Rattus norvegicus: one gene and its partners. The protein of the gene in region 3 interacts with the protein of the main gene of each other region in a pairwise test. Links are inferred from orthologs where the notes say so. Each region holds a gene or a part of one and is shown on either strand. Other genes may lie near its edges. The genes, in order: Pdcd4, Ccdc174 and Eif4a3.

Evidence for each region.
Region 1: the proteins of Eif4a3 (region 3) and Pdcd4 interact in binary tests that used the Homo sapiens proteins (3 or more experiments, as listed by UniProt). The two-hybrid records come from large-scale screens. The link is inferred for Rattus norvegicus from reciprocal best matches to the Homo sapiens genes EIF4A3 and PDCD4.
Region 2: the proteins of Eif4a3 (region 3) and Ccdc174 interact in binary tests that used the Homo sapiens proteins (3 or more experiments, as listed by UniProt). The two-hybrid records come from large-scale screens. The link is inferred for Rattus norvegicus from reciprocal best matches to the Homo sapiens genes EIF4A3 and CCDC174.

The regions. Positions count from the first base shown.
Region 1 is NC_086019.1:262,928,665-262,939,120, forward strand, and holds part of Pdcd4 (programmed cell death protein 4), read left to right. Parts: intron 1-1,164; exon of another isoform or gene 1,165-1,210; intron 1,211-1,664; 5' UTR 1,665-1,728; coding exon 1,729-1,771; intron 1,772-3,635; coding exon 3,636-3,938; intron 3,939-5,463; coding exon 5,464-5,558; intron 5,559-7,227; coding exon 7,228-7,341; intron 7,342-10,456. UniProt on the Homo sapiens protein: Inhibits translation initiation and cap-dependent translation. May excert its function by hindering the interaction between EIF4A1 and EIF4G. Inhibits the helicase activity of EIF4A. Modulates the activation of JUN kinase.
Region 2 is NC_086022.1:125,958,952-125,969,407, reverse strand, and holds part of Ccdc174 (coiled-coil domain-containing protein 174), read right to left. Parts: intron 4,304-10,456; coding exon 4,099-4,303; intron 1,572-4,098; coding exon 1,476-1,571; intron 205-1,475; coding exon 62-204; intron 1-61. UniProt on the Homo sapiens protein: Probably involved in neuronal development.
Region 3 is NC_086028.1:105,050,955-105,062,041, forward strand, and holds the start of Eif4a3 (eukaryotic initiation factor 4A-III), read right to left. Parts: upstream 6,608-11,087; 5' UTR 6,548-6,607; coding exon 6,379-6,547; intron 4,773-6,378; coding exon 4,700-4,772; intron 3,338-4,699; coding exon 3,271-3,337; intron 2,790-3,270; coding exon 2,727-2,789; intron 1,989-2,726; coding exon 1,856-1,988; intron 1,673-1,855; coding exon 1,592-1,672; intron 1,059-1,591; coding exon 917-1,058; intron 679-916; coding exon 540-678; intron 138-539; coding exon 22-137; intron 1-21. UniProt on the Homo sapiens protein: ATP-dependent RNA helicase. Involved in pre-mRNA splicing as component of the spliceosome. Core component of the splicing-dependent multiprotein exon junction complex (EJC) deposited at splice junctions on mRNAs.

The DNA of each region.
Region 1 (10,456 bases), on a different chromosome or scaffold from region 3:
CCACCTTCTCCTTCTGAACCTCTACATGAAGAACATGAAATAACGCGTATCCAATGCATTTTGAACTACAAAGGGCCTGAGAAGCATTATTTATAATATTTCCCCCTTTATTAGCTGGATGCTGCAGAAAATATTTTCTCAAAGGTTCTACTCGCATCCAGAATGAAAATAACACTTGAAGATGTAACTTTGGTTACATTCAGATCACATCAGAGCTGGCAGATTTCCTCTAGCGAGTGATCCAGGCATACGCTGAGGGAAAGCAGGATTCAGCAATTTCAGCCACGGAAAGTAGTAAAATTCTCCATTTCCAAACTATACTTGGTCTTACATTTGTATGACTCTCTACGTATCTACTTTAAAATTCATTTTTTTTTCTAGATCCCAAGTCATTTAAAATTAACACCGGGAAGTAAGTGGCCATTCAGACCTACATGTCAGTTAATTCTGAGCAGAACTAGAGAGTGATTTTTACCATGTTCTGTTTCTTGGGTAGGATAACGTCTTGGTGTAGCCTAACAGTCATGACATCACCTCAGCATAAGGTGTTACTCTTGTTTCACAAGTTGATACCTGTTTTAGGGAGAAAGGATATAGATGTGGAGGGCCTTATGCTTGTTAAACTTGGTGAAGTTTATCACCTGTCTGCTCTCCACAGCACACAAAGGTCTCACATGCAGGTGTTAAACTCCTGGTGACCCATGTGTGTCCTCTAGTGCTGCGATTACGTGTGTGTGTGTGTGTGTGTGTGTATTTTAACCACATCTGCCTTTTATTCTTAAAGCAGGTTGTGCTTTTTTTTTAAGAATGAAAATTTTAGATTATAAAAGCCATATGCTGAATATAAATCACATAATAGAAAGGGTTACTTAAAAATCTCTTCCTGTTTCAGTGCCTCATAAAAAGACAATGTAATGGACGAGGAAATGAAATGACAGCTGCCTCTGGTTTTGGATAGTCTGTGATGGGAAAGATCAGTACATGAAATGTTCTGATTAGCCAAGACTGTTGTTTTTATTTTAGAGTAAATTTTAGTTTTTGTTAGAGATTTATCCAGTACTTATGTCCCCGTATGTGGATGTCAAATTAATTTTAAGACTGTATTAAATGTGGGCTTGGGAGATGGAATGTGGGTTAAGAGTGCATAATGCTCTTCCAGAGGACCTGAGTTCGGCTCCCAGAGTTCACATCTGTTGGCTCACAGCTCTCTGTAAGTCCAGCTCTGGGGGAATCCAGTGCCCTCTTCTGCCCTACACAGCTGTCTATTCACAATGTGGCTTATAATGTGGCACACAAACACATGCAGAAGCACGCACACACACGTGCACACATGCATGCATGTACACGCACATGGTAATGGGGGGAGAGAATCGTAAAAGATTTGGTGTGTATGTTTAAAAGATGTGTGTTATAAATGTTTCTTTAAACCTCACGTTTAAGGGATTCATTGGCACATGCTGAAATCTGATGTAATTTTTTGTTTTTCTTTTTGTCTCAGAAAAGCTTATGGAGAAATTGGGAGCTAAGTATTAATTAGACTATTTTTGAAGGGATTGAGGCTTTTTTTTTTTTTTTTTACATTTTATTCAAGTAAGTTGAATTTACCTTATTGTGTCAGTTTAGAAGATGTTGAACCTTTTTCTTTTCTTTTTTTTAAAACGTAGATTCTAAAGGAAGACTTCCATTTAGTAATTTGCGTATAATCAGTGCAAGTGAAATTAAGGAAAAATGGATGTAGAAAACGAGCAGATACTGAATGTGAACCCCACTGGTGAGTTGTATTCTAACCCTGCCTTGTGACCAACCTTGAAGCTGTTCCAAATGAGAGTAAAGCTCTTAAAGTACTTTCTTAGCCATGCTTAAGGTATCCTGGCTCTACAAAAAGGCAACGGAAACTAGTAAAAGTTTTGAGTACTTGCATTTAAAAGTGGTCAGCATTGAGGGTGGTACACTTAGCTGGGACAGTGTTGAGCGACGTTATGTTACAATAGTAAGGACTTCTACACTGAGATAATGTAGAAAGCTTTGAAAGAGTTTTTCAGTAAGGGCATGCTTTAGAACACCACTGTCTTCACTTTGGAGACTGTTGAAGATCGAAGGAGAGAGACAGACTAATGAAATGCTGTAACACACTATGTGTGTTTGTTTTGGATTACAGTGTTTTCTTATTAACATTTGTACTTTTTTGCTAAGAATCTAAAAGAATTGAATACATCTGTGCTTTTTAAATTGATTCAGTTTTCACTTTTTAGACTCACAAACTACAATAAAAGTCATATATGTCAACTTTACATCATAATAATAATTATCATAATTACAATTACACACCAGACAGTTTGGGTGATTTGCCTCTTATTTGAGTTACCCATCTGGGAAAATAAACTGCTAGAGTGGTAATGAAGCCAGTGGCCTTTCTGACTTAAAAATGTCTCCAGAGCAAAGCTGAGGCGCCATCTGCTTGTCAAAGACATCTGAGACAGGGGAGAGTGGTCTGTGGGGTGCTGTTGACAGGAAGTGCAGTCTGGTAATAGCCCCTTCTTTGAGGCTATGAGCAGGGAAAGTCATAAAAGAAGTAAAGCATTGATTGCTGCAATGGGTTGAATGATCATTGTATGACCATGTAGTGTTCTAGTGGCTGAAGTTGTTAGGATGGTTTTCATGGAGGGAATGAGATTTGGGTATATTTTGAAGAATTCTGATAGCAAATTAGTAACTAAATGACTTCTAAGCAAAAGACCATTTGGTCTCTTTTAGGTACTAATGTGCCAACCACTTTAGGTGCTAATGTACCAACATGTGTAGGCTGGGGACCTTTCAGAGATAGAAATTTAAGGAAATAGTTTTGGAGATAATGATTTTAAGAGCATTTCCTATATTGAAGGCAGTCAGTTCAACAGTTGTATTTGATTACAAGTCAAGTATATATTGCAGACATTAAGTCTCCTAAACATTTGTAATTGAGCAGGGAGAGTTTTGAAAATAGTTTAAATACCATCAGAACCTTGATTTCCTCATCTGTATGACGTGCTGAACTTGTACTGTCCAGTAGAAAAAGTATGTTAGACACTGTGCAGTTTATCTCCTTTGTCTCAAGATTCTTTATTACCTCTCTCTACTTGGTAACTCTTTGCTCACAAGTCTATAGTTTTTTTGTTCTTCATACTAACATAGATTTTTATTATCCAAGCAAGTGTAATAACTTTTTTTTAGAAAACCCTGTTAATTAAAATTCAGTACCTTCATTTACTTTCCTTGGTAATGGGACAAATAATCTTATCTGTCCTTTATTAGATCAAGTCATGTAAAATTGCCAATGTATGACTACTACTAGCCTACAGAATGTTAATTGCATGTGAAGTAACCAAATTAAATTGTACCTGACGGGGCTGAGAGATGACTCAGTAGTTAAGAGCACCGACTGCTCTTCCAGAGGTCCTGAGTTCAATTCCCAGCAACCACATGATGGCTCACAGCCATCTGTAATGGGGTCTGATGCCCTCTTCTGGTCTGTCTGAAGACAGTGACTGTGTGTACAAATACATAAAATAAATACATAAATCTTTAAAAAAAATTGTACCTGACATAACAGTGGATATTGGAAATACTTAGTTTGGTTTTCTTTTTTCTCTTTTAAGACCCTGACAATTTAAGTGACTCTCTCTTTTCTGGAGATGAAGAAAATGCTGGCACTGAGGAAATAAAGAATGAAATAAATGGAAATTGGATCTCCGCATCTACTATTAATGAAGCTAGAATTAATGCTAAAGCAAAAAGACGACTGCGGAAAAATTCATCCCGGGACTCTGGCCGAGGCGATTCAGTCAGTGATAATGGAAGTGAAGCAGTTAGAAGTGGAGTAGCTGTGCCCACCAGTCCAAAAGGAAGGTTGCTAGATAGGCGGTCCAGATCTGGGAAAGGAAGGGGGCTGCCAAAGAAAGGTTAGTGTGTGCTGTGCAAAGAAACAACTGGAAGAACCCCGGTTCCTGTGCTAGGACTCCCTTGTTGTAAACAGAGAAAGCATTAACAGTCCTAGGGCTTTATGAGTTGCATGAATCTTTATGGCAGAGCTGAAGGCCCATACCACTTTTTCTTTAGGTTGCTTACTTTTTCTTTGGAGTAAACTTTCTCTTTTCCTCTCAGCAAAATATAGTAGACATTGATGCTTTCAGTTATGAATTTTATACACATTATGAAGGTGGTCAGGTTTATTATAACTGTTACCAAATGAATCTATGTCTAATGTTAAAAATAGTGACTATGCATTTGGTAACATATACGTGGATCTGGGTCTGAGCTCTTTTTAGTTCTGCTGCTTGAGTGTTGGAGTAGATTGATTTATTTCACTGTAGTATCCAGTGCCTAGAATACTGATAGACATTTAAAATTCATTGGATGAGAGGCTTTCAGCCTCTGTCTATAGTAGGATTTTAGTAGAATTGGAGATTGGACTGGATTTTGAATGGTGTGAGCTTCAGTTACACATTTAAGACGCTGATAATTTAAATGGATCTTGTGATGAAGTGTTTGGAAAGAGGGGGGAACTGAAACATGGAGATTGAATTTCAGCATCTTTTATTAATGAACATAGAACTAATGCCAAGAAAAAATATGATTATGAAAAACATTTTTGTTGAGGTGAATAGGGAAAGATAAATATATCAGTATTCAGTGGTCTTTCAGAAATTATTTTGTGATTAGCTTACATAATCATATCAATCAAAGTGATCTGAAGTTATCTGGTTCTGGTCTGCTGTGTTGGCAAGGATTATAGTCCAGGTATAGAATGAAAACTTAAAAGGGGGGCAATGGCATTCTGAAGGCTTTTTAAAAAGTATTATTTTAGACAAATTTGGCCTTCTAAAAATGCCACAGTAAATTGATAATGGAAAAGTGAATTGCTCAGTTGAAGTTATAGTCTTTGTTCTATATGCAGAAGTAGAGAGAAACAGCTGTTACTGCTGTTGATTTTTTAAATAGCAATTATTTGTTAAAATACTGCTAATTTCTAAGTATAGTTTAATGTGCACTTTATGTGGAAGAATATTACATGTTAGCATGACGGTAGTCATTATAGATATCTGTGGAATGTTTTTTTTTTTTTTTAAATGTGTTGAGCTTTTAATGCCACATTTCCTGGCCCAAAATGTTTTTCTTCTTTATTCTTTTTTCTGGTTCCAAGAAATGCCAAAATTTAGAGCTGCACCACAGTGTCATGTTCTGTAAGGTCTGTGGTACAACTATTGCTCAGATTAAAAAAATATTTTAAAGATTTTGCCTTTGTAATTTCTAACTAAGTTATTTTGACTTAATGCTTTTAGAAATATAATCTATTATTGAAAAAGTGATCTTTATAGGAATTTCAAGTGTAATTCTCAACTGGAAAATAATTAGCATAAGAATTTTTACATTTGAAATTATTTCAGATTTCAGTTAATATTTGTGAACTATCAACTGAACTTTCAGGTGGTGCAGGAGGCAAGGGTGTCTGGGGCACACCTGGACAGGTATATGATGTGGAGGAGGTGGATGTGAAAGATCCAAACTATGATGATGACCAGGTATCAGCTATTTTTTTTAATATACTCAATGTTTGTAAGATTTCTTGATTTTCACTCATAAGATTGTCAAGTGATACATGGTTATGTATCAGTACTCCATAGCTATGAAGATAAAGACAACATGAATAGAAAAATCATATATACAGATTAGGAAAACCAGGTTTTTTGATAGTAAAGTATACATAATTTCCACTTGGTTTTGGGAGTCAGGAGGTCTTTATTGACTTGAGACTGGTGATAATAAAGGAGTATCATGGGCTGCAGGTATTGGGTTCCTTTTTAGAATCACTACTTAACATGAGTACTAGTGTATATGTTGTTCTGGGGACATGTGCATTTTCTCTCTCATGATAATACTTAATAAGGAATATCTTAATGCATCATTGTGAAGTTCTTTCTGTCTTTCTAATGGAAAAATTTTAAAAGTATAATTGGTGCAATGAATCCTACTGGTACTCTTCTTCCAGCTTCCCCAGTATTAACTCACAGGCTATCTTATTTAATCTATATCTGTTTACTTGAAAATGTCAGTGTGTGTGTGTTAGATTGTTTTCTTTGCACATTATTCTCATATGTGTACTTACCAGTTTTAACAGATGGATATGGAAAATTTCTAAGAGATTATAAAAATATTTAAAAGCTGTGGGATTGAAATACCATGTACTTTGCTAAATATTAGTCTTTTAAGTATATGCTGCAAATAATATTTTAAGTGACAAGTTGTAGGTAAATATTTTAGCTTTTCTGTAGAGTAGACACATGGGTTCATGATAAGCATTTTTTATCTTACTTAAGTTTCACTTGAACTGCTTTTTCTTAGATTTTCAGTCATTACAATATTGATCTCTTATTTTTATTATATTAATTTTGAAAGTTTCTGCTTTTGACAATGTTAGTACATATATAAGAATACTTAATCTTGTTAAAAAGTCAAATTTTAATGAAAGTATGTGCTGGGATGCCATGTTAAAGGTTTTGGGTCGAAAAGTTGGTTTTGCGAGGAATATAAAAGTTAACATAAAAGCTGAGGTGGCTTAGGTAAGGTGTTGCTATGCAAACAGGGGACCTGAGTTTGGATTTCTAGCACCTCTATAAATGCTGGACATACGGTGATCTCAGCATTGAGCTCAGCATTGAGAAGTGGAGACAAGTGGGCTCCAGGGCTTGCTAGATGGGGCTCCAGGTTTAGTGAGAGACTTTTTCCTCAGAAAATGAGGTGAAAGGGATGAGGAGATGGTTCAATAGGGAAAAGCACTTTATGTACAAATTGGGCAGCTTGAGTGTAGTCTCCACAGTCAGGAAACTGATAGGAAAAACCAGCTGTGGTGGATGCATCTGTCATCCAGTCCTTCAGTGAGGACATGGTAGGTGGAGGTAACCTTGACCTCTGGTCCCTGCACACCACATGCATGCATGGTACATGCTCCCCCCTCCATACCCAAGTAAGTCAGCATGAAATACAGAATTTGGGAGAAAAATTACACATTTGCTGCCGTGAGTGGGTTTGTTCTGTCTGGGGCCTGTTGACGCTTTGTGACAGCGTCGCACCCAGACTGATTACAGCAGGAAGCAATGTCCTTTTCTTGCCTTACTGGTGATCAGCTGGCGGAGCTATGAAACGATGGTTTCAGTTTATTCGAACATTTAATTTGTGATGCCCTTCTTTCAGGAGAACTGTGTTTATGAGACTGTGGTTCTGCCCCTGGATGAGACGGCGTTTGAGAAGACGTTAACACCCATCATACAGGAGTACTTTGAGCACGGAGATACGAACGAAGTCGCGGTAGGTTTTCAGGGGCAGGGGGTAAACACCATGGAGAGCGATTGGGGTTACTCTGGATAGAGCCATTGGGGTTACTCTGGATAAATTTATGTTCTTTTCTTTTGTAACAACAACAAATGTCAACCAAGAAAGGAACGTGGCTCAGTCACTGGGCGACACTCAGCAGCTTCAGAGGACACTGGTCCCAAGGGCAGCTTGCCCAGCCCTTGTGCGGGGCCTGTGCATGCCACTCCTCACTGTTATAAGTGTGCTGCCGCCTCCGTAGAGCTGGAGTCTGTGCTACAACAGAGAGCAGTTTGACCCGGTGCCTTCTTCTAGCCCTTCGATGGGCAGCTGTTCTTGAGTTGCTAGGGTACTGGGTTGTAGGCTCCCCTGTTGCAGGTAACAGTTGCTGTTCTGTTCTTCTGCTCCTTTCTATAAAAGACCCAAACCCTGCTGGGCCTTTGCTCAGGCTGCTTTTGCTATAGTGTCCAGCTACAGCCTTATCAACGTCTGGTAACTTCTAACAGGAAGAGACAGATTGTTTACCTGTACTACCGTGATCTTAGCCCGCTCAGAAGACATTTTAGCCTTTTCGTGCCAATCCCCCTTTCATTATCAATTTATACAAAGGATGGGCAGCTTAGGCAAGATGGGGTATGAAAATCTGCTACTATCCCAAGAGCTCCCCAAAGCCTCTAGCACCTTTCTGTTTGCAGACGTAGTTCATTGTAGGATTCTGACAGTAATGTTGACAGGTGTCATATGTGTCTTACCGTACAAGACCTTCGTATTGCCAAGGATTTCACACCTGTGCCTGGCCCTTGCCCCTGTGGGTTGATCTCCCATCTTCATTGAAGGGACTGGTATTGTCTCAAGATCCACAAGACCAAGTTCTGTAGAGTGACAAAAGTCAGGGAATAAGAAACAAAGACAGGAGGGGGAGGGGAAAGGAGAAGGGAAAAAGAAACAAGAGGGAGGGGGAAGGAATATTTGTCTGAGGAGGGGGAGTGGGATGATGACAACAACAGACAGGCTCTGAACAGTGGAGACAAATGTGATTCATAGCAGATGACAGTTTATAACGGTTAAAGGGAAACTCAGTGTAGGGTGAGCTGCTTAATTTTAATTAGGCATGTTAATTAGGTGAGGCAAAGGGGATTTTTGATTGCTGGACCTCAGTACTTTGATAGCTGGACCTTGGTTGTCAGCCTCAGGAGGAGGACGTGGCTGAGGGGACTCGACCTTGGTGGTTAGCCTTTGGAATGTAATCTAATGGTTTTTAATAAGGCAGAGAGAATGGGGGAGAAGGGCAAGGCCTGCAGGAGCCATGTTTGCTGTGCTTGGACTTCTAGGGTTCCTTCCCTCTTCCTTTAGATGCACCTGTAGGTCCTTTGGGTATACTTCTAGGTGTTCAGAAACACTCAGAAGTTAACATTATGTCATTTATATAACACATTTTCTAGAGGATGGGTGGGACAAGGCAACACCCTAACGTACCAACCCATGACAGAGGGAGGCTACAAAGGTAACATTGGTGAAGCACTCTGAAAGTCTGTTTAACCTGTTCTGAGCAAGCGTCAGGTGAGTGCAGAGGTTCACAACTAAGATGTTCTAAAGTGTAACGTAAGCAGGGCCGAATACGGAGAGGCTCCATGCATTTGTAGCAGTTCCTTCCTCCCCAGATCATAGTTGGGTACCAAGCACGTGGATGGGAGGCATTAACTTCATTAGCTCTCTGTAATCCTCAGTCATTCTCTCTGAGCCATTAAGTTTCCGATCCCGGGGCTCTTCCACAGTCTTCCTACATTTCTCCAAACCTGACAAACTCAGTAGCCTGACTCAGTCTGCTCAGACCTGCTCATGGCCAAAGGTGAATGTGGCTCTGCTCTCTCCCGCTGTACCTAATGGCTCCCTAGGTCAGAGTGGCCCTTGGTTCATGGTGGCTGCAGCTTCTCCATTCATACTGGGCTGTTGGAATTCCTGGCTGGGCAAACCATCTCCACTGCTAGCATAACCTTTTGCTGGAGGGAAATATACCCTTCATAGTCTCGGGGGATAATTCCACCCTTGGGGCAGGCTTGATCGTCTTCACTGTGCCGATCTATTCTGGGTGTCTTCCAGAAGCCCTTTAGCACACAGATGGCTTTCTTTGTCAGTCTTTTCCTTGGGAACTCCAGTGAGACCCAAATCCCACCACATCTGTCTCTGAATAACCCAGGCATCTCTTTATCTGCTGTGTCTTTTTCTTACCTCCTCTAGGGCTCTCACATTACAGACTCTCTACATCTTGCTCTAAGTCACTGAGATCTGTCAAATCCCCTCCTACTTTATAAAGATCTTACCCCACCAAAGGGCTCAGAAAAGCCACTAAAGCTCCACACTAGCCATGAGGTCCCTGCTGGATCAACCTTTCCTTTGCCTTCTCTGTGAACGCAGTTCTACCTGACCCAGTGAACCAGGTTCAAACACTGCTCCTCTTCCTCCTAGTTCCCTCAATAGCACCTGCCCCTCCTTTTTGGTCCTCCAGTTCCTGATGTTTATGGGGACTTCAGACAGAGATGACCAAGTGTTCTTCATGGCTTTCATAAGCCAATCCACCAAAGACTATGTCCATCACACTGCCTCAGGCCATGCAGCCTTTGCCTTAAGGAGGGATGGGAAGTTACATTACTCAGTTTTTCTGTCTCCACAGCAGTCAGATGGATCCCATCCACCCGTGTCCCACAGCCTCACAAGCCAGGCTAAAACAGGCTCTTTTGCTACTTGTTTAAACTTCCCTAATTTCAGCACTTTTAGTGCTGAGTATCTCTTGACCACTCTAGTTTCTTGCATGGGACCATATTCTGGATCATAGATTTTCCCTTTTATTCCATTAAAGGTTGGACCTCTATAGTATCTTGTATTGCTTTTACCATGATCTTCCTCACGTTGACTCTTCCTGTGGATTCCAAGGTCTCGGATCCCAGGCTGGGCTTCTGAGCATGGGTCTAACTTGCACTCTCTTTTCCTTGTGGCCCCCAACCCTTAAGAAGTCACCTCATCTCATTCTCTTGGTTATATCTGATTTGCCAGATTAGATGCTAACACGCAGGATGCTGCCACATCTCTTGTCTTGTTGCAATTGCTTATTTTT
Region 2 (10,456 bases), on a different chromosome or scaffold from region 3:
CACTGTCTAGCATTTTTAAAAAGAATTTTTAAAAGTTGCAAACAAACAACCCCAACAATACCATTTTCCCGAATGTCTTCATAGTGGATGGGCCCCATTGGTTTTTTCAAAGCCTCCCTTTCTTCTTCCTCCCATTGTTGGCGCTGAAGTTCTTTCCTCATGTCTTCAGATAACAAAGTCTTTTCATTAGCAGGACTAACAAAACTGGTAGAGGGATAGAAAAGCCCATGTTTACGGGAGCAACATGAGACAGCAACACTTAGGTGGATCATGGCTGAGTAACACAATTTGGAAAGACAACAGTTTCCACAGAAGTTTCTGACTAAGAAGTCAATACAACTGCTTTAATATTTTTAAAATTCATTTACACACTGTGTATATATACACATGAGCATGTATGCAATGTTTGCACATATGCACATATGCCACAGCACACATGTAGAAGTCAGTCAGAAGACTGCTTTCAACCTTTAGGCATCTATTTTTCCCTTCTACCACGTGGGTTCCCAGGATTGAACTCAGGTCATTATGCTTAGCAGCAAGTACTTTAACCTGATGAGCCATCTCAAATAATCTTATTTTATCATTTTTAAATCAATTCCCAGACTTACACATGAGCCTGATGGGATCTTGCCTCAATGTTCAAGAAAAGTGACTTTCCTTTCTACCCTTGTCCTGGCTGACATATGGGAGGTGGCTTAGCCAGGAAGGATAACCACTGAACTTCTCTGAATGGCACCTTGTCTAAAGACATGGATGCCTCTTGTCCAGCGGATGGCCATGGTTTATGCTGTGGCCCCTGTGTGCTTATTCCAGGTCTACCACAGGATGCCTCAACCTCAAAGGGCTCACACAGGCGGAGTTTCTCTAATATGTCTCATATAAAGGCTGACCACCGGGAATTTTAATCACCAAGATACTTTTCAAACGTATGTTATTTCTTTGGTTTCATTAGAAATGTTGTCATGAGGCCTTTGCTTCAATATACAAAGACATATGAATAAGAAGTGAATAAAAGCAAGTGAACCTTCTCAAACCCTCTGTTCACAAAGGCTGATTTGTTAGCTAGGTTTGGGCTCATTCTGTATTTGCAATCTAGATCAGACATCCTTCCAAGTCAACAGTCAACTTATCCCTTTCAGCAGTAACAATGCACATGACCAGAACAGAGTGCCTGCCTGGAAAGCTTAAACCTAGTTCAAGTCCAGCCCAGGGAATAATGTTACTAATTCTCCTCAGTCCCTGAAAAAAAAAATGGGTTTCAGAAAAAGAAAATCAATAAGTAAAGTACAATGACATTCAGGCTGCTCCCTGAGCACAGACGGTTATTGTGTAGGGTATGTTAAGCTACAGGCTTCGGTATATCGTCGTACTATTAATGGTCTTACTATAGCAACAAGTAGTCATTCAGCAGCCTCTCCCAGAAGACAATCCCTGTGGCTGTGTTCCTGACAAAGGCCACATATTAAACTTACAGTCTCCCCTGAAGATTTTTATCCATCTCCAATAGACTTGGTAAATCCTTTCTCATGCAGCGCCGGGATCGGCCCAAAGAGTCCACATAATCCACCCTGAAAATTAGACATTGGGAAGACAGTTTGTACAGTTTGTACCATGAGCAGAAGATCCCTATGTCAGGGAGTTGGCAATATCATTACAGAGCCTGTGACCAAGAACCGGGAAGCTAAGGGCCCACTACCACAGGAAAAAACAATTAGCAGCTGGCACTCAATAAGCTTGTTGTGCCCTCTGCTAAATCTGTTTTAGAAACTATAGGAAGGAATTGATCATGGTTCTGATTTCAAAGACAAATTACCAATACAGAAATGGTGACATGGAAAAACTCTCTTAATTTGCGTGCATTTTCGCCACTAGACTATGTACTCCAGATTTTCACTGCTCCCTCCCCAGTGTACTCAGGCCTCACCCCTTTTACTGCTCTGCTTCCAGCTGACACATTCTCTCCAGTGAGCTTAAGAGTTCTTAAAATAAGTCATGGTGTCTTTTGGACCCACTGTGAGTAGGAGGAAGACAAGCAATATACATCCTTCTTCATCTTTCCCCAAAGCAGACAGTAGGGGCAGGGCACACCAGTCACACAGCAAGGTTAAACAAAACACTGAGACTTCCTAACAACAAAATATGGGCAGGTTTTCACAGAAACCATTTCCTTTGCACTACAGTATAATGTACTTTCCTATTTGTTATCACAAGCAAGAATCTCGCAGAGTCTGGAGCAGAGTTTAGGGCACACAGTTAAGGACTAAATAATACAGGTTCTTAACAGGCTGTGCTGCGAGTAAGCAAAGCCCTTCAAGGTCTGACTCAGCTGGCAGTGCTGGTGCCTGTAATTTCTTTTCTCTCAAGTGACGATGATTTCCTTGTTAGCCCATACTTTAAAACCAAATGCTTGGGAATCTACTCCTTTAGACACAAGAAATCAAACAACTAAACAAACAGTGTCTTCATTTTCTTTTTTCTTTCCGTCTTTTTTACTCAATGGGAGAGAAAACCATCTAGCCAGATGGTCTGTGTAATTATTTACAGTATTTTTGCAGAAAGATCTTGCACCACCTGGGATCTAATTACCAAAAGGATTTACAAGTAGTCACAATTCTGAAGCTTAATTCAAAAACAAAAAAAGTGTGGGAACTGCTTGAAGTGTCTTACTGCACCATATGGTGGCATGTGACACCTTCAATTGCCCTCCAAATTCCTCAAATTGCTGGCAAACTGCCTGTAATCATAAAGGCATTAATAAGAAAATAATTAAAAGACATTAGATCATTCACAGGCGATGGGATTTCTGCCTTGAAAAGCAATCATAGCTATTCTGTTCTGGAGAGGCCTTCGAAGCACACAAAGCCAACAAAGGGAACACAGAGCCAGCAATGGCTCTAGCTCATCAGCAACTGCTTACTGAGCAGTCCCAGCCAGCACGAACCTGGAGGAACTGGGCAAGCGAGGAAAGACTGTTCTCAGGAAAGCAGGAAGGGTGCATGGCAGAAAACACAATTTAGGCAGATTATAAAAACAAGCAAAAGTTTGTCTCAAATGTTTTGCTGGTAATAAGGCCTAGAATGGGTCAACTGTAAATAAAAGATATGATTCCACCCCCCTCCAAAAATTAGTTCAGATGAGGAAGCAAGTACTTAGGACTAGAAAGGCACAGAGAGGCTGAGTTCTTTTCTGTGATTCCATGTAGCATACCACCACATGTCTACCCACAACAGTATCATTAGATGGAAGTTGTTTAAAAGTAAGAAAGCATGGACCCCAGTGGACACCTTCAGCCATATGAAGAGGAAGGTTCTCTGACATCCTCAGTAGCAGGGAGTTCTCGTTATGCATAAATGCCTGTCCGAAGGGGCTAATTAAAAGGCTAAGAAACACCACAAACAGTCCTGAGCAGAGAGCAAGAGTTTAGAGGCCAGCCCAGTACATGGTCAGGACATCGGTGATGTCTAAGCAATGGCAAACTCTGCTGAATGAGTGACATGGAAGACACTGTGATGGGATTTTCACTCTGATCTGCATGTGGCTCCGTTCCTCCATCTGTTATGTACATACAGGTAAAATCCAGGAAAAGGTCAAAGATGAAGTTCTGCAAAGTATCTGCTTATGCTCCCACCATGGAAGTCACATGCTTCCAGAAGGGAATTTAAGGGAAATGGAGAGGATTTGTGGTGTTACCAGAAAACAGTGCAGCTAGGATACAGCTTACTGTACCTACCCTGCCAGTCACTCGAAGGGAACCACTTCAGGACCTGGCATCTGAAGCACAGCACAGTAAAGCAGCAGCATGGTAATGAGGAGCAGGATATGGATGGAGCGCCAAGGATCCTTGGGCCTGGCACCACATCAGGCCCAACAGAGAGATGCTCAGTTCTTACCTGCAGTCCCTGATGTTACCTCTCCACTGGTGCCCATTTCTATAATTGATACACTAGCTCATCCCAGTTTAAAGGGAAGGTTTTTGGAAGACAGAAAACCCAGGCAGAATAAGAAAAAATGCTGTGATAATGATCAAGCAAAACACTTCTCAAAAAGCCAATGTGCATTTGAGAGGATCATTCCGATCTAATCCCCACTACCCACCATTCCTCACTGGGGTCTTGAGGGGGAGGTATGTCTTTTTCAGAAAACTCTTCTTCATCATCATCATCATTAGCAGCAGCAACAGCAGCATCTCTCTCTTCTTTGATTCGGGAATCTCTAGTGGCACCAAGCACCTCCATTTCTTTTCGCTTGTCTATGATTTTCTGTGTGAAATCCACAAGGTACATGTCCTCCACTTCCTCATCTACGGCACAAAAATCAATTTACAGATCTTGAAATTAAAAAGGAAAATCATAGCTGGAACTGAGAAGGGCCCCACTGTCTGACTGTTTGCCAGTCAATGCCTGCATCTGGGACAATTTACAGACAGCCACCAAGCACCTGACAGGAAGCTCTAAATAAGCCATCCATAACACCAATCATAATATTCCAAAAAGCCTTGAGGTTCCAGCTGTGTTATCAACACACTGTGTGAGCAGTAAGTCCATGTAACAACACACCCATTCAATTTAGAGCAACCCTCAGCTAACAACATACGAGAGACACAGAACAGATAGTGGACCTTTCTTGCTGTGGTGTAACAGGCCTTTCTAAACCTATGAGCTGCATCATTTAACTCTCACACTGGTGGAAAGAGGTGCTTGAAAGTTCCTAACACAGGTAAACAATGTGCACTTAAGCTGGGGCATGGTGTGCACACCTTTAACTGCAGCACTTGGGAGGCAGATACAGATAGATCTCTTTGAGGTCTACATAGTGAACTACATACATAGTGAGCTCCAGGTCTTCCAGGGCTACCTGGTGAGGCCCTGTCTCCCTCTTGCATACACACATAAACACACACACACACACACACACACACACACACACACACACCCTGAGTTCTTTTCACAAGTGGACATTGTTTTCAGGTAAGATCTGAAGCCAGGCTCTTCAGGGATAGATTCAACATGTTTTTTTTCCTAAGGACAGGGACAGCTAGGACAGACACTGGGCTCCCTATCACCAAGTGGTGATATCATCCCCCTTTACAGTGTAACAGTGGAGACAGCTGAGGCTCTAAGACTTCACCAGCTCAGATACACAAGTACAGTAATAAGTATCAGGAGATGGGACTGCTGGATCTGACAAAACCCATTTTCCTCAGACATACTCCTTTTGACTGAGTTACTGGATTTTCATGTTATTTTTAACTACAAGCATGGGGAAGAAGGGTGAATGGTGTACAGATACCCTCAGAAGGCAAAAGAGAACATCAGTTCTCCTACAGCTGGAGTTAGTTACAGGCAGTTGTGAGTTGCCAAGAGGAGTGCTAAGAACCAAACTCTGGTCCTCTGTAAGCACAGCAAGTGCTCTTAACTGTTAAGCCATCTCTCCAGCCTCTGGGTTTCAGTAGTAACAATAAAAGTTCGAATCAAAAGAAAAAGAAAAAGAATAAAGCAAAGCAGTTTTCAAAGCCACTAGAAGGAAGAGCTCTTTGAGAGCTGAGGTGCAGAGGCACACAGCAGTGAGACATCCTGGAGATGAACACCTTGCTCCTCTTCTGGAGCGCAGCACTGTCGCCACAGCTCCCACCTTCAGGAATGACTGACTTTTCCATGCTGGACTCCCTGCAGTGCAAACAAGCCACACTATCTAAGAAGAGGCAAATGATGGCCCAGCACCACTGGTGTCTTGATTGCTAGACAGGCTAGACTATGCTGAGCCCCACCCCATTCCCTTGGAAGATCAGCTTTTACCACTCTCCCCTACAGATCCTTTTCTCCAGCTTACCAGGTCAAAGCACTTCCTTCTAGAAATTTCCTGAATGCATACTTGCTTTCCCTGCCTCCTGCCAATGGTATGTGCACTGGCAGAAATTCTCTTATACTGTTTTCCAACTTTGAATACTGATTTCTATTTCAGGGGGATATGACAAAAGGGAATTGCATTACAAATGTTTAAACCAATTACATGACATCATACGACTACTAACAAAATATGCCATGAAGTCGAAATTACTTAGGATGTGGGAAAATGTTAGCATAATAAAGGAGAGAGACAAGGAAAGGGGAGAAATAGAGAGAGCAAAGTTAAATAAACTAAAAGAAAAAGAAGAGGAATGGAATAGAATATTCTAGAGAGAAAAAAAGAGCAAGGAGTTATCAAAAAGAAAAATAAAATAAAGATTTCCTAACTGGATAAATGTAGGAAGAGAACTAAGATTAAAAATGATGAATCAGAGATGAATCAGAGGGTAAGTACTTATTGCTCAATCATGAAGACCTGAGTTCGAATCCCTGTAAGCTATATAAAGCCTGGTTTGCAGCACATCTGTAATCCCAGTCCTCCTGTGGCAGAAAGGTGGGAGACAGAACAGACCCCTCCAGCTTGTGTCTCAACAATGTGGAAGGGAAGGCCCACCACACGCTCCACTTCCATGCTGTGGCATTAACATACCTGCACTCAGACACAATAGCATACACATAGCCACACACATCCAACATATACACAAAAATATAAAAGCAATAGAGGAAAATACTGCATGAAGTTAAAAGAAATAAAAAGCACATCACAGAAATAAAACTGAAAATAGAGGGACAAAGGAAAGGAAAAATGGACACATAATCTCAAAGGCCTAAATGGGGCCATAATTCTGTGTAACCTTCCCTTTCCCACATGCATGGCTGTCCCTGCGTGTAAGGCGACCCCAGTTAAACTGTCTCCTAGGTGTAACGCTCTCCTCCTCCATCCAATGGGATCTTCTGTGAAGGTGGAAGAACTGGCTCCCTCTACTCCTCCCCTGTGCGCTGATGGCTCCTAACAAGCTGGCTGGTACCCAACAGACCATCACATTACTACTGCAGATTTTCTTGTTTCCATTGGATTTGTAAGATTTCTCCCTCTTAGAATCATTCAAACAAGCTTCCTGGTTGCTGCCGCTGCAGAGAGCCCCTGGGCAGCACCCCACGAGCGAACCTGAGCCTCGGGACCACAGGTAAGACCAACTTTTCTGCTGCAAGAAAGCTGCCTGGTGAGCTTGGAACACACGGAAGCAGAATTCCTCTAGGACCGGGCACGTTCTGTGTTTACCGGAAGTCCCACACCCGAGGATCCCGGCCCGCAGCAGCTCTCTGCTCCCAGACCCGGTGAGAGAGAGACCCAACCGCCTGATCAGGTGGGCACTCCTGAGGCTGCAGAGCGGAAGAGACCACCAACACTGCTCACCCCTGCCCACATCCCTGGCCCAAGAGGAAACTGTATAAGGCCTCTGGGCTCCCGTGGGGGAGGGCCCAGGAGCGGCAGGACCCCTGCCTGAGACACCTCCGGAACCTGAAAGAAAGAGACCGGATAAACAGTTCTCTGCACCCAAATCCCGTGGGAGGGAGAGCTAAACCTTCAGAGAGGCAGACAAGCCTGGGAAACCAGAAGAGACTGCTCCCTGCACACACATCTCGGACGCCAGAGGAAAAAGCCAAAGACCATCTGGAACCCTGGTTCACTGAAGCTCCCGGAAGGGGCGGCACAGGTCTTCCTGGTTGCTGCCGCTGCAGAGAGCCCGTGGGCAGCACCCCACGAGCGAACTTGAGCCTCAGGACCACAGGTAAGACCAAATTTTCTGCTGCAAGAAAGCTGCCTGGTGAACTCAAGACACAGGCCCACAGGAACAGCTGAAGACCTGTAGAGAGGAAAAACTACACGCCCGAAAGCAGAACACTCTGTCCCCATAACTGACTGAAAGAGAGGAAAACAGGTCTACAGCACTCCTGACACACAGGCTTATAGGACAGTCTAGCCACTGTCAGAAAGAGCAGAACAAAGTAACACTAGAGATAATCTGATGGCGAGAGGCAAGCGCAGGAACCCAAGCAACAGAAACCAAGACTACATGGCACCATCGGAGCCCAATTCTCCCATCAAAACAAACATGGAATATCCAAACACACCAGAAAAGCAAGATCTAGTTTCAAAATCATTTTTGATCATGATGCTGGAGGACTTCAAGAAAGTCGTGAAGAACTCCCTTAGAGAACAAGTAGAAGCCTACAGAGAGGAATCGCAAAAATGACTGAAAGAATTCCAGGAAAACATAAATAAACAAGCAGAAGCCCATAGAGAGGAGACACAAAAATCCCTGAAAGAATTCCAGGAAAACACAATCAAACAGTTGAAGGAATTGAGGATGGAAATAGAAGCAATCAAGAAAGAACACAGGGAAACAGCCCTGGATATAGAAAACCAAAAGAAGAGACAAGGAGCTGTAGATACAAGCTTCATCAACAGAATACAAGAGATGGAAGAGAGAATCTCAGGAGCAGAAGATTCCATAGAGATCATTGACTCAACTGTCAAGGATAATGTAAAGCGGAAAAAGCTACTGGTCCAAAACATACAGGAAATCCAGGACTCAATGAGAAGATCAAACCTAAGGATAATAGGTATAGAAGAGAGTGAAGACTCCCAGCTCAAAGGACCAGTAAATATCTTCAACAAAATCATAGAAGAAAACTTCCCTAACCTAAAAAAAGAGATACCCATAGACATACAAGAAGCCTACAGAACTCCAAATAGATTGGACCAGAAAAGAAACACCTCCCGTCACATAATTGTCAAAAGACCAAACTCACAAAATTAAGATAGAATATTAAAAGCAGTAAGGGAAAAAGGTCAAGTAACATATAAAGGCAGACCTATCAGAATCACACCAGACTTCTCGCCAGAAACTATGAAGGCCAGAAGATCCTGGACTGATGTCATACAGACCCTAAGAGAACACAAATGCCAGCCCAGGTTACTGTATCCAGCAAAACTCTCAATTAACATTGATGGAGAAACCAAGATATTCCATGACAAAACCAAATTTACACAATATCTTTCTACAAATCCAGCACTACAAAGGATAATAAATGGTAAAGCCCAACATAAGGAGGCAAGCTATACCCTAGAAGAAGCAAGAAACTAATCGTCTTGGCAACAAAACAAAGAGAATGAAAGCACACAAACATAACCTTACATCCAAATATGAATATAACGGGAAGCAATAATCACTATTCCTTAATATCTCTCAATATCAATGGCCTCAACTCCCCAATAAAAAGACATAGATTAACAAACTGGATACGCAACGAGGACCCTGCATTCTGCTGCCTACAGGAAACACACCTCAGAGACAAAGACAGACACTACCTCAGAGTGAAAGGCTGGAAAACAACTTTCCAAGCAAATGGTCAGAAGAAGCAAGCTGGAGTAGCCATTCTAATATCAAATAAAATCAATTTCCAACTAAAAGTCATCAAAAAAGATAAGGAAGGACACTTCATATTCATCAAAGGAAAAATCCACCAAGATGAACTCTCAATCCTAAATATCTATGCCACAAATACAAGGGCACCTACATACGTAAAAGAAACCTTACTAAAGCTCAAAACACACATTGAACCTCACACAATAATAGTGGGAGATTTCAACACCCCACTCTCATCAATGGACAGATCATGGAAACAAATTAAACAGTGATGTCGACAGACTAAGAGAAGTCATGAGCCAAATGGACTTAACAGATATTTATAGAACATTCTATCCTAAAGCAAAAGGATATACCTTCTTCTCAGCTCCTCATGGCACTTTCTCCAAAATTGACCATATAATTGGTCAAAAAACGGGCCTCAACAGGTACAGAAAGATAGATATAATCCCATGCGTGCTATCGGACCACCACGGCCTAAAACTGGTCTTCAATAACAATAAGGGAAGAATGCCCACATATACGTGGAAATTGAACAATGCTCTACTCAATGATAACCTGGTCAAGGAAGAAATAAAGAAAGAAATTAAAAACTTTTTAGAATTTAATGAAAATGAAGGTACAACATACCCAAACTTATGGGACACAATGAAAGCTGTGCTAAGAGGAAAACTCATAGCGCTGAGTGCCTGCAGAAAGAAACAGGAAAGAGCATGTCAGCAGCTTGACAGCACACCTAAAAGCTCTAGAACAAAAAGAAGCAAATACACCCAGGAGGAGTAGAAGGCAGGAAATAATCAAACTCAGAGCTGAAATCAACCAAGTAGAAACAAAAAGGACCATAGAAAGAATCAACAGAACCAAAAGCTGGTTCTTTGAGAAAATCAACAAGATAGATAAACCCTTAGCCAGACTAACGAGAGGACACAGAGAGTGCATCCAAATTAACAAAATCAGAAATGAAAAGGGAGACATAACTACAGATTCAGAGGAAATTCAAAAAATCATCAGATCTTACTATAAAAACCTATATTCAACAAAACTTGAAAATCTTCAGGAAATGGACAATTTCCTAGACAGATACCAGGTATCGAAGTTAAATCAGGAACAGATAAACCAGTTAAACAACCCCATAACTCCTAAGGAAATAGAAGCAGTCATTAAAGGTCTCCC
Region 3 (11,087 bases):
AGCCAAAGCTGCAAGGCCTACCTGGCACCTGACCGGAACTCCTTCATGATGGACTCACGCTCTTTCTGGGGCATGTCTCCGTGCATGGACGACACTGTGAAATTGGCTTCTCTCATTTTCTCTGTCAGCCAGTCAACCTACAGATCAGAACAAAAGAGGTGCTCATCCACCCATCCAGAGACCTGTACAATGGCAGCTCTCAACAGCAGATTTACAGAGTCGCAGAGGAAACTCCCCCACCAACTCTCGCAGACTCTGCCAGCAGACACCACTTCAACCCAGCTTAAACCAAAGGCATCCAAATGATGACATAAGACCCGTGTCGGTAACCCCCTTCTGTCCTAGACGCAGACCTTCTGTGACCTCCCTGCTCAGAGGCCCCAGCAGTTCCCCCACTGCCAAATCTCAGCGTTTCCATCTAACGCACCGGCCACAGCTGAATTAACAGGAACCCAAGCCCAAGCCACACCCTGGGCCTCTGACAGACAGGACACCCAGCCTGCAGCTCCCCAAGACCGACACAGTGCAGAGCAGCGCACCTTCCTCTTGGTGTTGCAGAAGATGACAGCCTGGGTGATGGTCAGCGTGTCGTAGAGATCACAGAGAGTGTCGAACTTCCATTCCTCTCTTTCCACGGCCACGAAGAACTGTTTGATGCCTTCCAGAGTCAACTCATCACTGAGAACAGAGCTCACGTCACTCTCCAACCCAGAATCCGAGGGACAGGGCCACGCTGAGCCCCCAGCCCTCCTCTACCCAGCTGGCTTTAGACCTTTCCAGTTCTCGGTCCCTTGGGTTCCTCTCCCTCCGCAGACCACAGAACCCCACGGAGCACACAGCTCAGGCTTAGAAATGGAAGAGGGTAGAGATCATTAAACCTGGCTTCCACCCAGGGAATGAAGGGATGCATCCTTACCGCTTCACCAAGATGCGGATGGGGTCGGTCATGAACTTGTTGGTCATCTCCAGGATCTCATGGGGCAGCGTGGCGCTGATGAGAACAACCTGAGTGGCTGGTGGCAAGTACCTGTACACGTCATAGATCTGCTCCTTGAAACCTGCAGCAGATGTGGTGAGCTCGGCGTTGGCTTTCAGGCTGTCACTGAGAGCCACACAGAGGGACTTCAGAGAAGTCGGTGGTCAGAGCGAGTTCACAGGTGCGCATGTGAACACCTGAACCCTGACCCAGGCCATGTGCAGTGCCAAACCAGACAATAAGAAGACACTGTCACCCCAGCTAGGACTGGTCTCAAAAACATTAACAAAACCACAAAAACATTACAATAAAAGTTTCAGGTTCAAAACCCCACAAGACGGGCTGGAGAGATGGCTCAGCGGTTAAGAGCACGACTGCTCTTCCAGAGGTCCTGAGTTCAATTCCCAGCAACCACATGGTGGCTCACAACCATCTGTGATGGGATCTGATGCCCTCTTCTGGTGTGTCTGAAGACAGCGACAGTGTACTCATACTCATAAAACCAATAAATAATTAAAAAAAAAAAAAAACCCACAAGACACACTGCTTCTGCAAAAAGTAAGGACTGTCACACACACCTAACAGTATGTTACTAGAAAATTCTGGTCCCCTTACCTTTGTTCAACATTTCATCAGCTTCATCCAAAACCAACATCTTGATTGCCCGTGTCCTTAAACTTCTACGGCGGATCATATCTGGCAATTAGATTTTGAAAGAATCACATGTGGGTCTAAGGAAAGAGCTAGCCACTCCCACTGGTCCCCAGAGCCCTCAGAAGCTGTCCCACCATGTGGTGTATACAACTGAACTGCCACGTCCTTTGAGCACACCTCATAAACACCACCCACAGCCCAGGTCTCAACAAGAGAAGCACTCACCAAAGACTCGTCCTGGTGTGCCCGCCACAACATGCTGCCCATAGTCCAGCTTCCGGATGTCCTCCCCGACATTGGTGCCACCAATGCAGGCATGGCACTGCACGTTCATGTAATCCCCCAAAGCAAGCAGACCCTGAAGCAAAATAGGTTTCCATGAGAGGCCCGCAGTCAGACACATCTCAAGGGTCATCTCTACTTTAATGGGAGACACCACCTACCACTCACTCACTTAAGCTCTTTCCTCTGTCAAAAGGAAATTCAATTTAGGGTTTCCTGATACTGAAGGGGTGCAAACCAAGTGTGGGAAAAATCACAGTTGATAATCATACCGTATTAACATCCCAATACATATCCCTCCAAGACTAGAAGGAAAGTCATTATTTGATTAAAATGAACTTCATTTTCCTGTGAGGAAGGAACCAGGGCCTTGTGTACTTCGGCAGAGCCAAGTACCGCTGTGCCACATTCCTAGGACCATGGCTACACCAGGAGAGCAGAGACCAGGTAAGAACCACCAGCGAGTCAGACAACAGGTTGCCAGGCACACACAGCTCGGTTCCTGCTTCTTGTGTTGTCAAAACCAAAAACGAAGAAGGAAAGTGTGGGTGGGAGGACAGCGGGGGTCAGCGTTCCCTCCACCTTTACAAGGATTCTGGGAGGTGCACTCAGGTGTGAGCCACAGCACCTTCACCCGCTCCATCGCCGTGTGGACCCCCAGCAAAACAGAAATCACCTCCCTTCCATACAACGACACGTGCAAACACAGCGGCACTCTCTACTGCTGCTCAGGGATTGATGGGCCTCACACGTGGGGACAGCAGCACTGTCACAGGGCGGCACCAGCCTGGCACACCATCTCCGACTGTCTCACCTTCTGAATCTGCACTGCTAACTCTCTTGTTGGAGCCAATATCAAAGCTTGGGTTTCTCGAACCTAGTGAGTTAGAGAAAAGAAATGTCATGAGATTGTACAGAGGAATGGACAGGTTTTCCTATGACATGTCCACAGTCACTCTCATTCTCTTACCCCTTCCCTATCTCTTCCCAAACGGTCCCATCTCTACTTTCAAATCCTCTTTGAAAAATTAAAAAAAAAAAAAAAAAAAAACTAGATTCTGGATGAGAGGGAACCTGATATCTGTCCAAGTCCAGCTTCCTGCCCTGAGCCTGTCAGCCATCAGTCTCAGTGTCACTCGCACGGCTTGCTAACAAGCACTGGGACCTACTATAAACACTAGCTTGGGTTAGCTCGCTGCTCTTTCCTAACCAGCCTCAGGAGACACTAAATTTGAAGGCCAGCAAGAGCGCTGACAGTCAGGGCTCTCCTGTGAAGGTCAACCACACCCCATCTAAAACCTGCACTCAGTACACACAGCATTGGCATTAAAGAGCATTTGCTGCGAGTGGCAAATCACCTGGATATCCAAGCACTGAAGGACTGAAATACTGAAGGTGGCCGTCTTGCCTGTGCCAGACTGAGACCTGTTTAAGAAAGCACAAGGTAGTTATCAGAGAAAGAGCATCTGACACTGCCCCTGTTCTAGGGACCCCAGCCCACAGCAGTGCTCCCTCCAAAGGCCTGGCTGCAGACATGTGCAGCAGCTTCTTACTAGGAGCCCCTGCTCCTGCCCTGTTGGAGGGTGGGTTTGTGCACTGTAAAGGTTCCTAGCATTAGTCAGATGCTGGGTTCTGTGCAGGCAGAGCTGAGTGCAGGCCAGGCTTGGTGACTTATGTTCATGAAGTATCACCCATCTCAGTGCTTTGTAAACTCCGTCACCTCCCGACTGGTTCAGGAAGGAGCTCATTGTTTAGCTCAACAGAAGAGAAGCAGGGGTGCCCAGACACCAGAGGAGGGGAGGGGGAATGGAGGAAGTGAGGAAACCACAGGGAGAAGGTATAGAGAAACCATGAGGAGAGACATGGACCAGAGCAGACAGCAGGTGACAGGGCATGTGTCCGGTGTCAGCAGCCTAGTCAGGTGAGAGTCTCAGAACCTGGCCAGCTTAAGCTTTACGGCTTGTTAATAAAACACCAGGCTAGAGCAGGCTTAGAAACACCAGCAGTTATCTGAGAACAAGGAGGACATAGAAACTCCATGAATTAATCTCACACTCTCCCAAACATCTTAACTCCAACAGTGGGAGACCAAAGTACAAGGTCACTTCTTATTCTTATTTTTCACCTTTACTTATCTGTGTGACTGAACATGTGTGAAACTTCTTTCAAAGCCGGGAAGAGGATGCTGGACCTGAGGCTGCAGTTATAGGCAGCTCTGAGCCACTCAGTGTGGGTACCAAGAACTGAACTTGGGAACAGAGCGAGCGATCTCCACAGCTCCCAGAGAGACAAACTGCTACAGACAGAATGGATGTGGGGCTTCTACACCAGGACACCAGAACTAAGAAACTGCAACGCCAACAAGAACTTCCCAAAGGAGGCAGAAAGGGGACCTCTCCCTTTAATGCACCAGCTCCTAAAGTCTGAAGTATGATGTAAAGGATAACTGGTCATTTATAGTTCAGTAGTAGAGAAGGCCCTGGGCTCTGTACCTAGCATGCACCTTTAATCCAAATAGCAGCCAGAATTCTGAGTTGGAGGCCAGCCTGGTCTACAGAGAAACCCTGTCTCAAAGGAAAAAGAAAAGAAAGCTAATGAAAAAGTACTTTACACAAATCCATAGATCTACATTCAGGACCTAGGGCTACATCAGCGTAGTGTGTGCAATGACCTCCATAGGACCCAGAATACACATCCAAAAACAAGTCGGCATAAATAAATAAGGCAGGCTCAGCTCCCCACAGCTCTCCCCGAGGACCCAACTCGCTCTCAGCGCCCACAACTTACTGTGCAATGACATCTCTCCCTTTAATTATCTGCTTGATAGCACGCTGTTGGATCGCAGAAGGTTTTTCAAAACCTAGAAATGCAAAGAGGAAACACTGTAACTCCCCAGGACTGTGACGGCATGAACTACCTGGGGAACACACACTTGCTCCTTCCTGCCAATCCCAGGCAACACAGGCAGAGCTGAGCACATCTTCACAGACCAGCCTACAGGACTACCTGTCAAGATGCTACCCACTACACCAACACTTGGAGGGCAGAGGCAGGAGCATCAGGAGTTCAAGGCCAGTCTAAGCCACACCAAACCCGCTCTACAAGCAAAAGCACAAACCCAGAAGCACTGCAGTTGCTGCCCTTTCCTGCTACCAAGCACTCAAACCCCAGCTGGTGGTGTCTCCCGAGTACTGAGCCTGCACAGGCATGGGGAGACGCCCTGTGCTGCTCTCCTGTTTGCACGAAGGCCCATCATCAAGGGACCACCCACCTGCTGGGCCATCACTACTAGCAAGGAGAACAGTATGAAAGACTGGACAAGGCTGTGCACTCCCTTAATCCCAGCAGGAGAAGCTGAGCAGGGGGATCTCTGTGAATTCCAGGCCACCTGGTTCACAGAATGAGTTCCAGACCAGCCAGAACTAGGTAGAGAGACTGTGTCTTAAAACAAAACAAACAATGAAAACACAAGTATTTTCCAAATAAGCAGATAGGATTTATAAGAAAAGATGTTGTTAAACATCTTGGTGACGCACACCTTTAATCCCAGCATCTGGGAGGCAGAGGCAGGGGATCTCTGAGTTAGAGGCCCAGTTTGGTCTACTAAGAGTTACAGGACAGCCAGGGGTACATGGAGAAACAAAACAAAACAAAACAAAAAGCAAAACAACAAAGAAAGCAGAAACAAAAAGAGTTCATTCGGCCTCCCTCAAATGCTCCTAAGCAAATACCAACAGCATGACCCACCATTCACTCAAAAAAGCCAGGAATGCACTGCATCTGCTGCCAGCAGATCCTTTAGCTCCACAATAACATCCCCATCTCTCCTATGGTCCGGCCATCACCCCGCCTCCTCTTCTAACTCCAAATCCAGACACCAAAATAAACTTTCAAACGGTAAGCCTGATCCTATCGATTCTGCTCAGAACTCTGCGGTGGCTGGCTCCCCGCTGTATTTAGGAGTGAATCTCAAATTCTTTACTCATGCCTTTAAAACATGACGAGGGGTTTCTTTCTTATGTTCCTGGCACTCGTCAGGCAATGGCTTCAAGAAGCCAGGACCAGTTGTTCCCTCTCCCCTGGGGATTCTGAACGCCTCTGGGAGCTCTCTTTCGGCTCTTTTAACTCACCGTTATCAATCTATCTACTCTATCCAGTCGCTCATTCTCTTGTTTTCCCAATTCTCACCGCTTGAAGCACCCTTGCTTCGTATTTCCCGCTTCCTTAGGAAGCTTTAAACTCCACAAGGCACGAACGCACCAGATTTGGAGCCCCGACTTCCCCATCAAAGCTTCGGGGCACCTCACAGGGACACACACATGGCTATCCGCTACACGAGCGACTGGAGGAGCCTGGCTGACTGCAGCACCGGGGAACCCCGAGCTCTGGAGCTCGGACGCACGTTCCCCACCCGGTCTGAAGCGGCCCGTCCCCCAACCTCCCCTTCCCCGAGGCCCGCGCCCCACCGTAGGCGTAGATGCCGCGCAGCAGGTCCTCCCGAAGGCCCATGGTGTCGAACGTGGGGGTCACGTCCACCTCCTCGCTGGTCTCGAACTCCACTTTGGTCATGTCCTCCTCTTTGAGCAGCCGCTTCCGCGCGGAGCCCGACGTCGCCATCGTGGCCGTGGCCGCCATGATCCCGACCCCACTAATAGACAACTGCGAGCTGCGGCGGGAACCGGAAACAAGGCTCGCGCCGCCGGCCCGGTCGGGAGGAAGTGACGCAAACACAGCGCCGCGGAAGAGCGTCAGGAGGGGTGGGAGGCAAAGCGCTCCAAGCCTCGCGATATTCCGTGCTCCGCGGGATTCGGCGAGGGACTGGGCTGGCAGTCTCTGGATGTCCGTGACTCTGCATACTCTTGTCTCTTCTGGGTGTCTGCAGCCTACTTGGGATAGGGATGTGGGTCTCAGGGAGGAGCAAGAGTGACGCCAAGGTGTCCCTGAAGGTACAGAGCAAAGGAAGAGGGCACTGTCCTGTGGGCTCCGCGCTCCAGCGCTGCTGACTGCGTTGCCATGGCAACCATAGCGTGGCGACCTGGGAGAATCAAGCTGCTCTCCCGGGGTGGTGGATGGGAGGAATCGGTGGAGACCGAGTGGGTAGATGTTTTTGCCTGGGAGAGCAGGGGACGCCCAAGCTGCCATCACATCCGAGAATCCTTTAGAGCCTCTGACCCGGCGTGGTGACCCCAGTCACTCTGGAGGATCCTGATTTTCAACGCAGGCTCCAAAAGGGCCTTGCTATTTGGGGCATGTCTTTCTGTTTGTGAGAGTGGATCCCAGGACCCCTGTAATTTCGAGTCGTAACCCGAGTTCTAGCAAAACTTCATTTGCATGTGGCCTCTTTCTTTTTTTCTGCTTTTGAGGAAAGATGACTAAACTGTTAAGGGCTGTTACTCTTCTTCCAGAGAACCTTGATTGTGTTCCAGCCACTTAGACCGTGTGACTCACGCAGCCTGTATATTCCAGCTCCAGGCGATCCAGTGCTTCCAGCCTCTGTGGGGGCCACACTCGTGGTGTGTACACACACGCAAATACACAAATACTCAAACAAGTCTTTAAAAGCTACTGTGAAAGACTCATGTCGATAAGTTTAGTTACAACCAGATCTTTTCATGGAGAAGTTGTGGGTTGCAATGTACCCATGTTAAAACAAGTTCTTTATTACTGCCTTCTCTTTGAGAGCTCAGCTCCCGCTCTGGTATCAGGATTTGTCCAGACCAGATAAACCATATAATACATGTGGTATTAATCAGAGCACTAAAGGCATAGAGTTGGCCAAGTTCCAGTTCTCATGCCTTCTCACTCAATGAGGATTTAGTCCACGTGCTCATGCCGTTTTTTGTTTTGTTTTGTTTTTTTGCAAGCCTGACTCGAAGGGTTGTTTTGCAATCTTGGCTGTAAAAGACACAGGGATTTTAATGACATCCCAAGAAAAGAATGTAAAGTCTCCATTTCATACTGTCTGTTGAAATGAGTAATTATAGCTTGTGGTTACTGTTTAAAACGCTGTTTCATCTCACTGTTTTACTTCATCAGATGTAACAACTAGAGAAAGGTGTTATTGTATTCTTATTGGACCACTCTGCTCACATATCTTTTTTTAGTTTATTGTGTCTGCGTGTATCCGCATGTATTAGTGTGTGTTCGCATGGTGTATGCGAGTGGGCAGGCCCATGCTACAGAGCAGGTGTGGAGTTCGGGGGACAGTTGTGTAGCATGTTCTTCCCTCCTACCTTTATATGGGTTCCAGGATCAAACTCACTCAGGTCATCAAGCTTGCATAGCCAGCCCTCCCTTAACCCATGAGCCATCTTCCCGGCTTGCTATAGTTTCTTACAGTACCCAAGTAATTTGAAGACCCTGGTTCTCTTTATCATCAGCAAGCAGCTATAATCCAATCAGTTATGAATAGTATGCCTTTGTCACTTGCCTGTTCAAAGTATCTGATCAACTTGGTTACATTGTATTTTATGCAAAAGTATCTACTTAAAAGCAACAATCTAGACTAAGGTGGTAGTGTATACCCTGTGACCCCAGCACTTGGGTGGCCGAGGCAGAAACACCCAAGGTTTGAGGCAGGATGGCATAGGTGAAGACATATCTTTATAAAAATGAACTACAGTAAGGGCTGGAGAGCTGCCTCAGTGGTTAAGGGCACTTACTGGTCTTGCAGAGAACCCAGATTCAGTTCCCAGCACCCCTTTCACATAACTTACAACCAGTTCCAGGGGACCTGATGCCCTCTTATGACCTCAAAAACCACCTGTATGCATGTGCACATACACCCAGGCATGCAACTGACAGCCCTGTTTGGCAATCTACAATTCCAGTGCTTAAAGTGACAGATTAATTTTTTTGAGACACAGTTTCTCTGTGAAACTCACTTTGTAGACCCAGTCAGCCCTGAACTCACAGAGACCTTCCTGCCTCTGCCTCCAGAGTACTGGGATCAAAGTTGTGTGGCACCACACCCAGCTAATTTGATTCTTATAAATCTCAACCACCATTAGAAACAGAGGGTGCTGGTGAATGTCTTTCCTTACCTATTTTACGGACGGAAAGATAGGCTCAGTCTACTTTTTCAGCAAGGGAACAATTGGTCCAACTCGAGTTTATATTCCAATGGCTTTATCCTGCTTATAAGTACCTGGGCTCTGGAGCCCCAGACACCTTGGCCTCTCAAGGGAAGAAGTCTCCGGTGACAAAGATGATTAGACCCACAATTTTTGGTCTCGGTACCCTCTCCCGTTAGCATCGATCGTATTGACTACACACTTGTATTTGGGGGTGTGCTTAATTTAAAAGGCATGGGTATATCTAGTCAGCTTCCCAGTCTCCTTAATGTAAGTAACCAGCTGCCAGCTTGCTCACTATTCACATACAGGGGGAGGAGGAGGAATACAGACATAGTCTAGCTGAACAGGAACATGGCAAGGTCATGTGGGATTTGGGGGGAATGGGACAATGCTAAAGTGTGCTCAAGAGCCCATCTGTGCCAACCTAGCTCCAGGAGTCAGGATGGCAACATTAGACAGGAGGGAATCCAAAGAGTTGTCCCCAAAGGATTGCTTCCTGCTAGCATTCCCACCCATGACCATTTCCCAAACCCACCTAGCAGGAGCCCAGGTACCCTGCCTAGCACCCCATGACTTCAACTTGCTGCATGGACTCCTGGTGCCTTCTGCAGGCTTGGGGTCCCACACACAAAGACAGGTACACAGTAAGCTGCCCTGCCCCAGTTATGTACTGGAAACATTTCCAGTCCTGGGCTAGAGGTAAGGATCAATTGCCTTCATTGTGTGTCTATTCCAGAGAAAGGCAAGACCCACGAAAATTATCTCACAAACAAATGAGATAATTGTGTATAGTTACTGTGATGTAAACGAAACAGACGAAGTGGACTGAGTTACTGAGGTTCCGGTTTCACTTGGTGGCAGGAGGGAAATGTGGCCTGACTTGAGAGGAGGTGTTCGTAGTCACGCCCAGGGAAGGAGTGTGAAGGGAAGAGGCAGTGAGTGTGAGCACGGACAAGGCGAGTGAGCAAGAAGTGAGAAGGGCTGCGGCACCTTCGGGGGCTCCCAGACCGGGATCACCACAGCGTCCTCTCCAGATGGGGCAGGGCCCGAACGGCTGCTGATCCTTGACCGAGAAAGGGGACCCAGCTGCACAGAGATGGGAAGGAGATGCTGAAGCTCTGAAGAGAGGGCTGTTGGCCGTGCCTGCCGTCTGATTCTGTGGAAATTTCAGATGGACGTTTACACAGCTGATAGTTGCCTAGGCTGGGTGGGGCTGTCAGGATTACCAAAATTTCTGGGTCACAAGACGGGGGACTGTGGAGCCTTGCGCTAGGAATAAGTGAGGGGGTGCAGCAGGAGCTGCTGGCACAGAGTTTCCCTGTGTGGTAAGCAGGGTGAGGGAAAACGGGGTGTGGAAAGTGGGGTGATGGCAGATTAAAACAGTTGCGGGAATATTGTCTGGGTGAAGAAATAAAGCTTCGCCTGGCACCTGGTTCCCGCTGAAGCAGATGTTGATCCACATGGAAGGATGTTCAGTCCCCCGCCTGGGTGGGAGGACTGTAGGAATTTCCATCTGTTCCCCCAGGTCACAGGCCCCCTGGTGAGGAAAAGTTCACAGCCACTCTGCCAGGATCACAGAGTCAAACAGCAAGACCATCACCACCTCTTGGGCAGGTCGAACCCTCTGCCTCAGGCTTCTCACATCTCCACTTAAAATGCCCCTGCCTCATGTAGGAAGGCTCATCTCACTGAGGCTTGGGAATAGAAAATAAGTAGTTCAATGGGGCACAAGGGACTGCTCCATGCCCGGGAAAGAGGGGACCCCTAAGTCTCCGCCCTTAAAGACAGAGGCCCGGTGTGATGGCACATGCCTGTAGTCCCTGGCACTCAGGAGACTGAAACAGGAGGAAGAGGAGTTCCTGACCAGCCTGGGCTTTGGGAGTGAGGGAGCCCACACACAAACACAAAAGCACGCGCGTGCGCGCACACACACACACACACACACACACACACACACACACACGACCAAGCATGCTTAGTGTGGTGGCACAGGGCACCCTGTGATCCCTGGTGCTTCGGGCAGAGGCAGGAGTTCCAAGTTCAAGACCATTCTCAGCTTACTACTGAGTCCCAGGCCAGCCAGAACCACACATAATAAC